Linked DNA regions of Oryctolagus cuniculus. The protein of the gene in region 1 purifies or fractionates together with the protein of each later gene. This does not show direct contact. Links are inferred from orthologs where the notes say so. Each region holds a gene or a part of one and is shown in the gene's direction. Other genes may lie near its edges. The genes, in order: AKAP5 and PRKACB.

Region 1 (4,526 bases):
GAGCCAGGTGAAATCCAAGAGCCAGGAGCTTCTTCCAGGTCCTCCACATGGGTGCAGGGCCCCAAGCACTTGGACCACATTCCCAGGTGCATCAGCAGGGAGCTGAAATGGAAGTGGATCAGCCAGGACTCGAACCGGCATCTCTGTGGGATGCTAGTGTTGCAGCTGGTGCAACTCCCTACACCACCCACACAAATGCTTTATGTGTACAGATACATCTTCGGGGTACTTCTCATTCAGACTAGTGCATTGCTTAAAGGTTCAGGAACCCCATGCAAATGTAGAGCCTAGCCCATGCCAACGGTAGCACCTGCAGGGCACGGCCGTGCACTTGGCCGTGATGAGGACTGGTGCTGTACAATGTCCTCTCCTGTTGCCCACCCTCTGTCGATCCAGAGGGGCAAGGTTAAGCAGGATCTAGGGGTGTGTGAAGGGCGACGTGGGTAACGTGTAAGCATCTCAGCTGATTTGGGGGAATAAGCAATGTATAAAAGATAGGGAGCAGCCTCTGCGCCCCCTGGTCGAGTTGTCCGTGTCCGCACGGGAGCACTGCGCTCTGCTCTCTGCTCCGACTCCCGCTCTGACACAGCACACCCTGTGAGGCCCCAGAGGACGGCTCAGTGCCTGAGTCCCTGCCGCCCGCGCGAGACCCGGACCGTGCTCCCTGCTCCCTCGGCAGGCTTCCAAACAGGAAGCAGAGGTCTGAGCGCCCATTCGGCAAGGGACCGCGCTAACCTCCTTCCTCCCAAACCCACGCCAGTTTCCCTTCATAGGAAGGCGCTTCAGAATCTTCACAGGCAAAAGGAATTTAACGATGTTTATTTTGGTGCCAAAATCTTCAAAAACCGCACACATACAAGGGGGTCTTCAGCGAGTTCATGGAAAACGTATGTTATGAGAAAATTATGCGTGGCTTGAAAGCGTTTGCACCAAAATACACTTCTCTTTCAGTTCCATTTTTCCCGTTACTTTTTTTTAATGTTTATTTTTCACCTACTTGGGAAGTAGAATGACGGGGCGGGTGTGGGGGCGATATTCCATGCACCTGTTCATTCCCCAGCTACCCACAACAGCCAGGGCCCAAGCCAGGACCCCAGAACGCCATGGGGTCTCCCACCTGGGTGGCAGGGCCCCAAGCCCCTGGGCCATTACCTGCCGCCTCCCAGGTGTGCGTTGGCGGGAAGCTGCATGGCAAGCGGAGGAGCCCAGATTCCAACAGCGAGGCCCAGGGCAGCTTAACCCAAGGGGCACAACCGCCGCCCCTCCACGAACTTCTCGCAGCGGCCTGGGAACTGTCATTTTCTCTCCAGCAGACACCTCACTGCTCTGCGCAGGGTTTTCAGTTCTGCTTCTGGAAATGTGATAGCTGCCCTTCACGTTCAAGCTTGGGGCGGAGGGGGGTTGCAATGTGGGAAGAGCAATTTTTAAGACCGGGTTTGACTGCTGCTTGCCCCGTCTCCCCCGCATCTTCGGGCTCGCTCGCTCTCCCCTATGTTCTCCCGCCTTCGCCCCGCGGGGATCCGCTGCGGGGGTCCAATGGGGGGACCCGCTGCGGGGGACCGCTGCGCGGCCGGCGCACGTGGCGGGGCCCACGGCTCGCAGGCGGGGCCCCGAGCCCCGCCCCGGCGCCGCCCCCCGCCCGCTCCGAGCGCGTTGGCGCCGCTGCCTGCCTGTCCCCGCGCTGCTGGGGAGGGGGCGCTGCGGGGCCGCGGTCCCTGCGCTGCAGAGGGCTGCTGGCTGCGGGTGCGACTGTAGCTCGCCGACTGCCGGGGCGCGCCCCCGACCCCGGGAACGAGGCTGGCCGGGGACCGCTGCGCTCGGGGTAAGTGGAGGCAGGGCGGGGAGGAGGCTCCGGGGCAGTGTCCGGGAGGGTGGCCGGGCTGGCCGGCGGGGTGGGCGGGAGGTGGGCGGCGGGCGCGGGCTGCGGAGCGCCCCGAGGTGGCGGGCGCTCGTTGGTCAGCAGGAATCTGCAGCCAGGGCCGCCCCTGCCCACGCTGCCCACCCTCCCGCTTGGCGTTGCAGCGCGACCTGGAAGCCGGGGCTGCCCGGTAGCTTTTTCCTTCCTTACCGTCTTTTTTTTTTTTTTTTTTTTTTTGGTGGGGCGGGGGGAGGTAAAATGTGGTGATGGGTTCCTGGCCATTACCGTTTTGCAGCGAGCTCGAAGCTGGGTTCTCTGTTCACGCCCCCGGCATTTTCCTTTTTTGAGGACTTTATCCTGGGCTCTCTGTATCGTGCCAGAGGAGAGATTGACTCCCTGCAGGAGGAAGCGTCGAGGGCCCTGGCTGCTGCGGGGTCGTGGGTGCTCTGCTTTCTGCGGCGACGACAGCAGGGTCTCCGGAGGCTCCAGGGCGAGTCACCTGCAGAGGTCTCCTGTCTGCAGATTGAGCCCCCCCACCCACCACCCCCCACCCCGTCAGAGTGTGTGTGTGTGGCTGTTTTATTTCTGCAGTGTGATATGCATTCACCCGAGCGTCTCGAAGAAATTGTCTTTGAGAAATCCAGGTTAGTTGCAGATGACACATTCCTGAACATGATCTGACTTCAGTATTTCGATCAGGAATAACACCGTCTCCTTAATAAAAAGGCCCAGGGGCTGAGAACCCGCCAGAGGTGAGACGGCTTAGAGTTCTAACCAGCTCAGAGTCCAGCGCTTACCGCGGCATTAGGTGAGAGGGGCACCGGGAGACGTTTAGATTTGAATTCCATCGTGGTTCTAGAAGGATTCTTTCTGTTAGAGGTATGAAGGATGCAACCTAAGGGAATATTTGCTTAGGTTGTAAACGGATGTTCAGCGTTCCAGTTCTTTCTCAAGTTCATAGAATTAAGGGCTTCCTAAATGAGACACACGTGAGGGATTTGCATAAAAACAGTCTGAGGAAAGAGTCTCTTAGCTTATTTTAGGTCATATGACTTTTTTTCAAGGCCTCACTCCTTCTTTCTTGGGTGCCTGGGTAGCATTCTGTGGGTTCCTTTTCAAATGCACCTTTATGTGTACATGAAACTAATCTATTTGCTGATTGCATAGCTTGTCCGTTTATCTTAGGCTTTTTTTTTTTTTTTTTTTTTTTTTACTTAGTTGACCAAGACAGTAAAATATAAAGGATTTCAAAAGTTTGGCTTCAGAATAGCAAGAATTCGGTCTAGCCTTGGTTCGAGGCTGAGCTGATGGGCTGCGTTACGGTTAATAAAATGGCCGTTAAACACTGTTCAAGAATCTACATGAATGGTTCTGTTGCAGATTAGCCACTCCAGACAGTTGGTTTTCTGGTGAAACTCACAGAGCACCACCTCAGAGCACCAGGCTTCAGGAGCAGGCAGATCTGGACTGAATCTGAGCTCTGTTACCACTGTGCTGGGAAGTGTGGGGCCACTGCTTCATCTGTGCATGGTGAGAACGCCATCCACTCTGTAGTACGAGGAGACTTCAGAAACTATGGAAAATGCAATGAAAAGATGTTTATTTGTACACCAAAAAAAAAAAAAAAACCTTGAAATTCATGCATCATTTTGTCATTTTCATTTCCATGAAGTTTGTGAAGATCTCTTCTATATTTGTGGATTTCAATTTTTTGCACCAAACTTTTAATTTTTTACTTATTTCTTTAAAATGTTATGTGTTTGAAATGCAGAGTTGCAGAGTGAGAGAGATTTTTTTCCATCTGCTGATTCATTTCCTAAATGACTGCAATGGCTGGGCTGGGCCAGGTTGAAGCCAGGAGCCAGGAGCTTCCGGGTCTCCCATGTGGGTGGCAGAGGCCCAAGGAGTTGAGTTATTCTCCACTGCTTTCCCAGGTGCATGAGCAGGGAACTGGATTGGAAGTGGAGCAGCCAGGGCTGGAACTGGTACCCACATGGAATGCCAGCATTGCAGCCAGAGGTTTAATCCACTGCACCACAACGCCAGCCCCAAACTTATCTTTTTTAAAAAATGATTTATGAAGCAGAGACACAGAGAAAGAAGGCATGAACTTCCATCTGTTGGCTCACTTCCAAAAAGTCTGCAACGGCCAGGACTGGGTCCATTGAAGCTGAGATTTGGGAATGCAATCCAGGTCTCCTGTGTGGGTGGCAAACACTTGAACCACCACTGCAGCTTCCCAGGGTGCACATGAGCAGGAAGCTGGAGACAGGAGCCACGAAGCTGGTCTTCCAGCCCACATGGTTATCCCGAATGGTGTCCTAACCACTAGGCCAAGCCCCAGCTCCTAAACCAATCTTTTGATTTGAAGCCCTCTTACATTATAGTAGAGATTAGAGAAGTAACTATGATGCTTAGCACAGCCTAAGATGCAAAAGTTGCTCAATTACAAGGCTGGCACTGTGGCATAGCAGGTTAAGCTGCCGACTACGACACTGGCATCCCCTGCAGGCGCTGGCTTGAGTCCCTGCTGTTCCACTTCTGATCCTGCTCCCTGCTGATGTGCCTAAGAAGGAGGAAGATGGCCCGAGTGCTTGGGCCCCTGCATCCACATGGGAGATCTGGAGGAAGCTCCTGGCTCCTGGCTTCAGCCTGGTCCCAGTGGATG
Region 2 (3,814 bases), on another chromosome or scaffold:
ATAATAAATGAAAAATAGTTCCCTGTGCTTTGAAAGAGTGTGGGTTTTTACAAACATTTTTAGACTTCTTTTTTGGTAGATCTCTTCAAAATGTACATGCTGATTTGTTTCATATGCTGCTTGCTCTATTTGTATAGAACAAGTTTCAGTTCTCACATCTCTGAGACAAGGGAGCTCTCTCTTGACAATGGGTGAACATACTGATATTGTTGGAAAAGTTCTAAATATGTGCACATTTTCCTGGAGACTGCTCCATGTTCTAAAAGGGAATTTATGACCAAAACAAGACACTAAGGGAACAGTTTTAGTTCATTCACACAAATAATTCTCTACTTTAAGACTACTGTAGGGTGTGTCAATTGTTAAATCAACAACAGGAGTCACTGTGCACTTGCTCCCCATGTAGGACCTCTGTCCTTAATGTGTTGTACTATGAGAATTAACAGTAAAACTAGTCTTCAAACAGTACTATATACTTTGTGTGTCTGTGTGGGTGCAAACTGTTGAAATCTTTACTTAGTATAGAGTTGATCTTCTGTATATATAGATAATTAAAAATGAATCTTAATGAAGAATGGGATGGGAGAGGGAGTAGGAGATGGGATTGTTTGGGGGTGGGAGGGAAGGTATGGGGAGAAGAACTGCTATAATCCAAAAGTTATACTTAGGAAATTTATATTTATTAAATAAAAGCTTTCTATAAAAAAGACTACTATAGGGACTGTGACTTTTACTTAAAAGCATTTGAAGTTGTCATTAAACAATTTTGTTAATATAATGCCCTGCTACCTTTAAAAAATGTGAAATCAAAATAGAAATATCATGAGTTTTGGAATTTGTGTTTTATCATTTGACGTGTTTGTGTAGGTCCGATTCCCATCCCACTTCAGTTCAGATCTCAAAGATCTTCTAAGGAACCTACTGCAAGTGGATTTGACGAAACGATTTGGAAATCTAAAGAATGGTGTGAGTGACATAAAAACTCACAAATGGTTTGCCACAACAGATTGGATTGCTATTTACCAGAGGAAGGTAAGACTTTTTAAAAGTTGGTGTTTAATTATATGTAGAAGTATTTTCAACTTCACATATTAGAGTGAGAAAATGTTAATATTCTAGCTGAGTATCAAAAGCACATTTTTTGTATCTTCGTAATTGATACTTTTATAAAAGATTGAAAAAACAAAGCAGTAAAAGAATTTTAAGTGCAACATACAGAAGAAATAACAAGACCTAAACAATGTAAATGCAGTACAACCTCTATTTCTCAAAAAAGTAGTTCACTCTCCAACCATTCAGGAAACATATCTGTTAACATTGTTATTACAAATGGATATGCTATGTAGTCAAGAACAGGGTCCATAGTAATTTAAAATAATCTTTAGTTGTCATAAAAAGAATTTCATATTTTTGTATTTTTTCTATAATTGTTAGCATCAATGCAATACTTTATAATGACTGAAAGCGACTGCCTTTAACTTTTCATATTAATCCTTAAAGTATTCTTTGAAATGGGTGGTACCATTTTCTTCATTTTACTAATCAGAAAATCAACTCAGAAAGGTTACTTAATGTAAAAATCTTATAACTACTGAATGATGCCTATCTTTGATCTTGCTTTCTTCAGATTCCTATTCCCAGAGCCACATTACCCATTTAAAGTCCTTTTAACATGATCAAATGATGCTCCAAACCACTGCACAATACATTGTTTCATAAAATTTTCATATCATCTGCTTGACTTCCACATATTGACCCTTGAGGGTAGGAAGACTCTTTCTCAAAAGGCTGTTAAAAAAGAGCATAAACTCTGAGGTTCAGTCCCAGATCAACCAAGCATTATTGTTATAATCTTAAACAAATAATTTAACTTCTGTAAAGCATCAATTTAATCACCTTTAAGATGGAAGAGTAGTTTGGGGAAGAAAGATCAGACAGATTAGCCAAGCTCCCTTTGAGTTCTGGTTGAGATATGCTTCATTATAGTTCAAATTAGATAATTTGTTTAATAACAGCAAAATCTTGATTAACAAAATAGACGCTAGGATCCCTGGGTGATTTACAAATAGAAATAATCCAGTACTTTAATTTGGCCATTTGTTTTAATATCTTCTCAACTATAAGAATGCACAGCAGTGCAAAAAATAAAAAGATAGTAAATTTGAATGGTTGTCATGGTTTTTATTTTGTGATCCAGTGTTCATGAATGTGAAATAGCCAAATGAATCTAGGAGAACGATGATAAAGAGAGAGAGAGAAAGAAAGAAAGAAATGGCCTAGATGACTCAAACTGTACAGTCACTCTCTAGAGATGATTGCCCAAAAGTAGAATCCTAAATTGTTGTCTGGCTAGACATGAGGCAACTGTCTGTTTAACTCATTCTTCTAGAACAAAACAGCAGTCCCCAAAGCAATGGGTGCAAGATAATCAGCTGAAAAATAAAGATACTTGAATTTCCATTCCAATTTATTTTCACTTTATTCTTTTAAAATGTCATATTTCTGTGTTTATCTTATATTATATGGTCAACCATGTGAATAATGTATAAATAAATAACTATACAAATATTGATAATGTGTGCTAGGAACTATTTTACTGAAAGAGATAGAAATCAAAAAGATTTGGAAACCACTGACATACGTAATAGAAAGAGCTCTGATCCAGAAGTAGAAAATTATGAGTTTGAGACTTGCTTTAGCCTCCTACTAGTCATGTGATTTTGGCCAACTCTGTTTTATGATTTTTACAAATAAGAATAAAATATACCTGCTCTGCCTTCTTCATAATGTGGTACTGAAGAAGAAATGAAAAAATTGTATGTGTAATTGTAAATTCAGTAAGGATTGTGAAAATTGTGTTATTATGTTTGTAGCTTTTAAATAGTTTCCTCAAATGTTTTCATTATACCACATAATCTTTGTGAAAGACCATACTCTGAATGGTGGAAAGACAGTTTACTTTCAGGATCTGAAAGGAGAAAAACATTTAAGATTTAGCAGTTCTATAATTCCAAAAGAGATACATTTCTTTCCAACTTATGACAGTTGCACATTTATGTAGACAGATAATTAAAATAAACTTGGAAATTAAAAAAGGAAGGCAATTAAAAGAAAGTCTAAGATTTATCTGTCAGCTTCAGAAGAAAGGAATATAAAAGTGAGGATAGAAAAATAAAGTCTTTGAACATAAATAATAAAGGAAAAAACTGGAATTCTGTAATCTTAGGAGCCTACATTTTGATGCCAACAATTAATTATCCTAGGAATGTCTCAATGTTGTTATATTCCTTGAATGAAAATGATGAGTTAAACAGCAAATCTACTGTTTGCTCCTTCTTCTGATGCCAATATATTTTAGGGATTTAACGGCATTCAAAGATGCCACCAGTTATTAAGAGTGGAAATTTATTTTCCTTAGTGTTTACAAACTCTCAGGAATTTAGTTTTCCTCTTATTTTCCTCTCTATCCCAATTATGTAGGTTGAAGCTCCATTCATACCAAAGTTCAGAGGCTCTGGAGATACCAGCAACTTTGATGACTATGAAGAAGAAGATATCCGTGTCTCTATAACAGAAAAATGTGCGAAAGAATTTTGTGAATTTTAGAGAGGGATAACAAGAGGCGATCAGAGCTCACACTCAATCTTTGCACTCTGGTGAGAGACAAGGTGGAGCTGAGACCCTCCTTGTTGAAGCAGTTACCTAGTTCCTTCATTCCAGCGACTGAGTGAGGTCTTTATTGCTGTCATCTGTGTGTGCACTCTGCATCCACCTATGTAAAAAGGCACCGCTAAGTAAGCATTTCCTGTGCCAT

The links.
Region 2: the proteins of AKAP5 (region 1) and PRKACB purify together in Homo sapiens (affinity purification with mass spectrometry; 4 studies listed by BioGRID and IntAct, counting the BioPlex papers as one, with this or other methods). This does not show direct contact. The link is inferred for Oryctolagus cuniculus from reciprocal best matches to the Homo sapiens genes AKAP5 and PRKACB.

What each region holds. Positions count from the first base shown.
Region 1 is NC_091451.1:5,986,844-5,991,369, reverse strand, and holds the start of AKAP5 (A-kinase anchor protein 5), read left to right. Parts: upstream 1-1,636; 5' UTR 1,637-1,822; intron 1,823-3,238; exon of another isoform or gene 3,239-3,388; intron 3,389-4,526. UniProt on the Homo sapiens protein: Multivalent scaffold protein that anchors the cAMP-dependent protein kinase/PKA to cytoskeletal and/or organelle-associated proteins, targeting the signal carried by cAMP to specific intracellular effectors.
Region 2 is NC_091438.1:87,045,545-87,049,358, reverse strand, and holds part of PRKACB (cAMP-dependent protein kinase catalytic subunit beta), read left to right. Parts: intron 1-867; coding exon 868-1,032; intron 1,033-3,480; coding exon 3,481-3,606; 3' UTR 3,607-3,814. UniProt on the Homo sapiens protein: Mediates cAMP-dependent signaling triggered by receptor binding to GPCRs.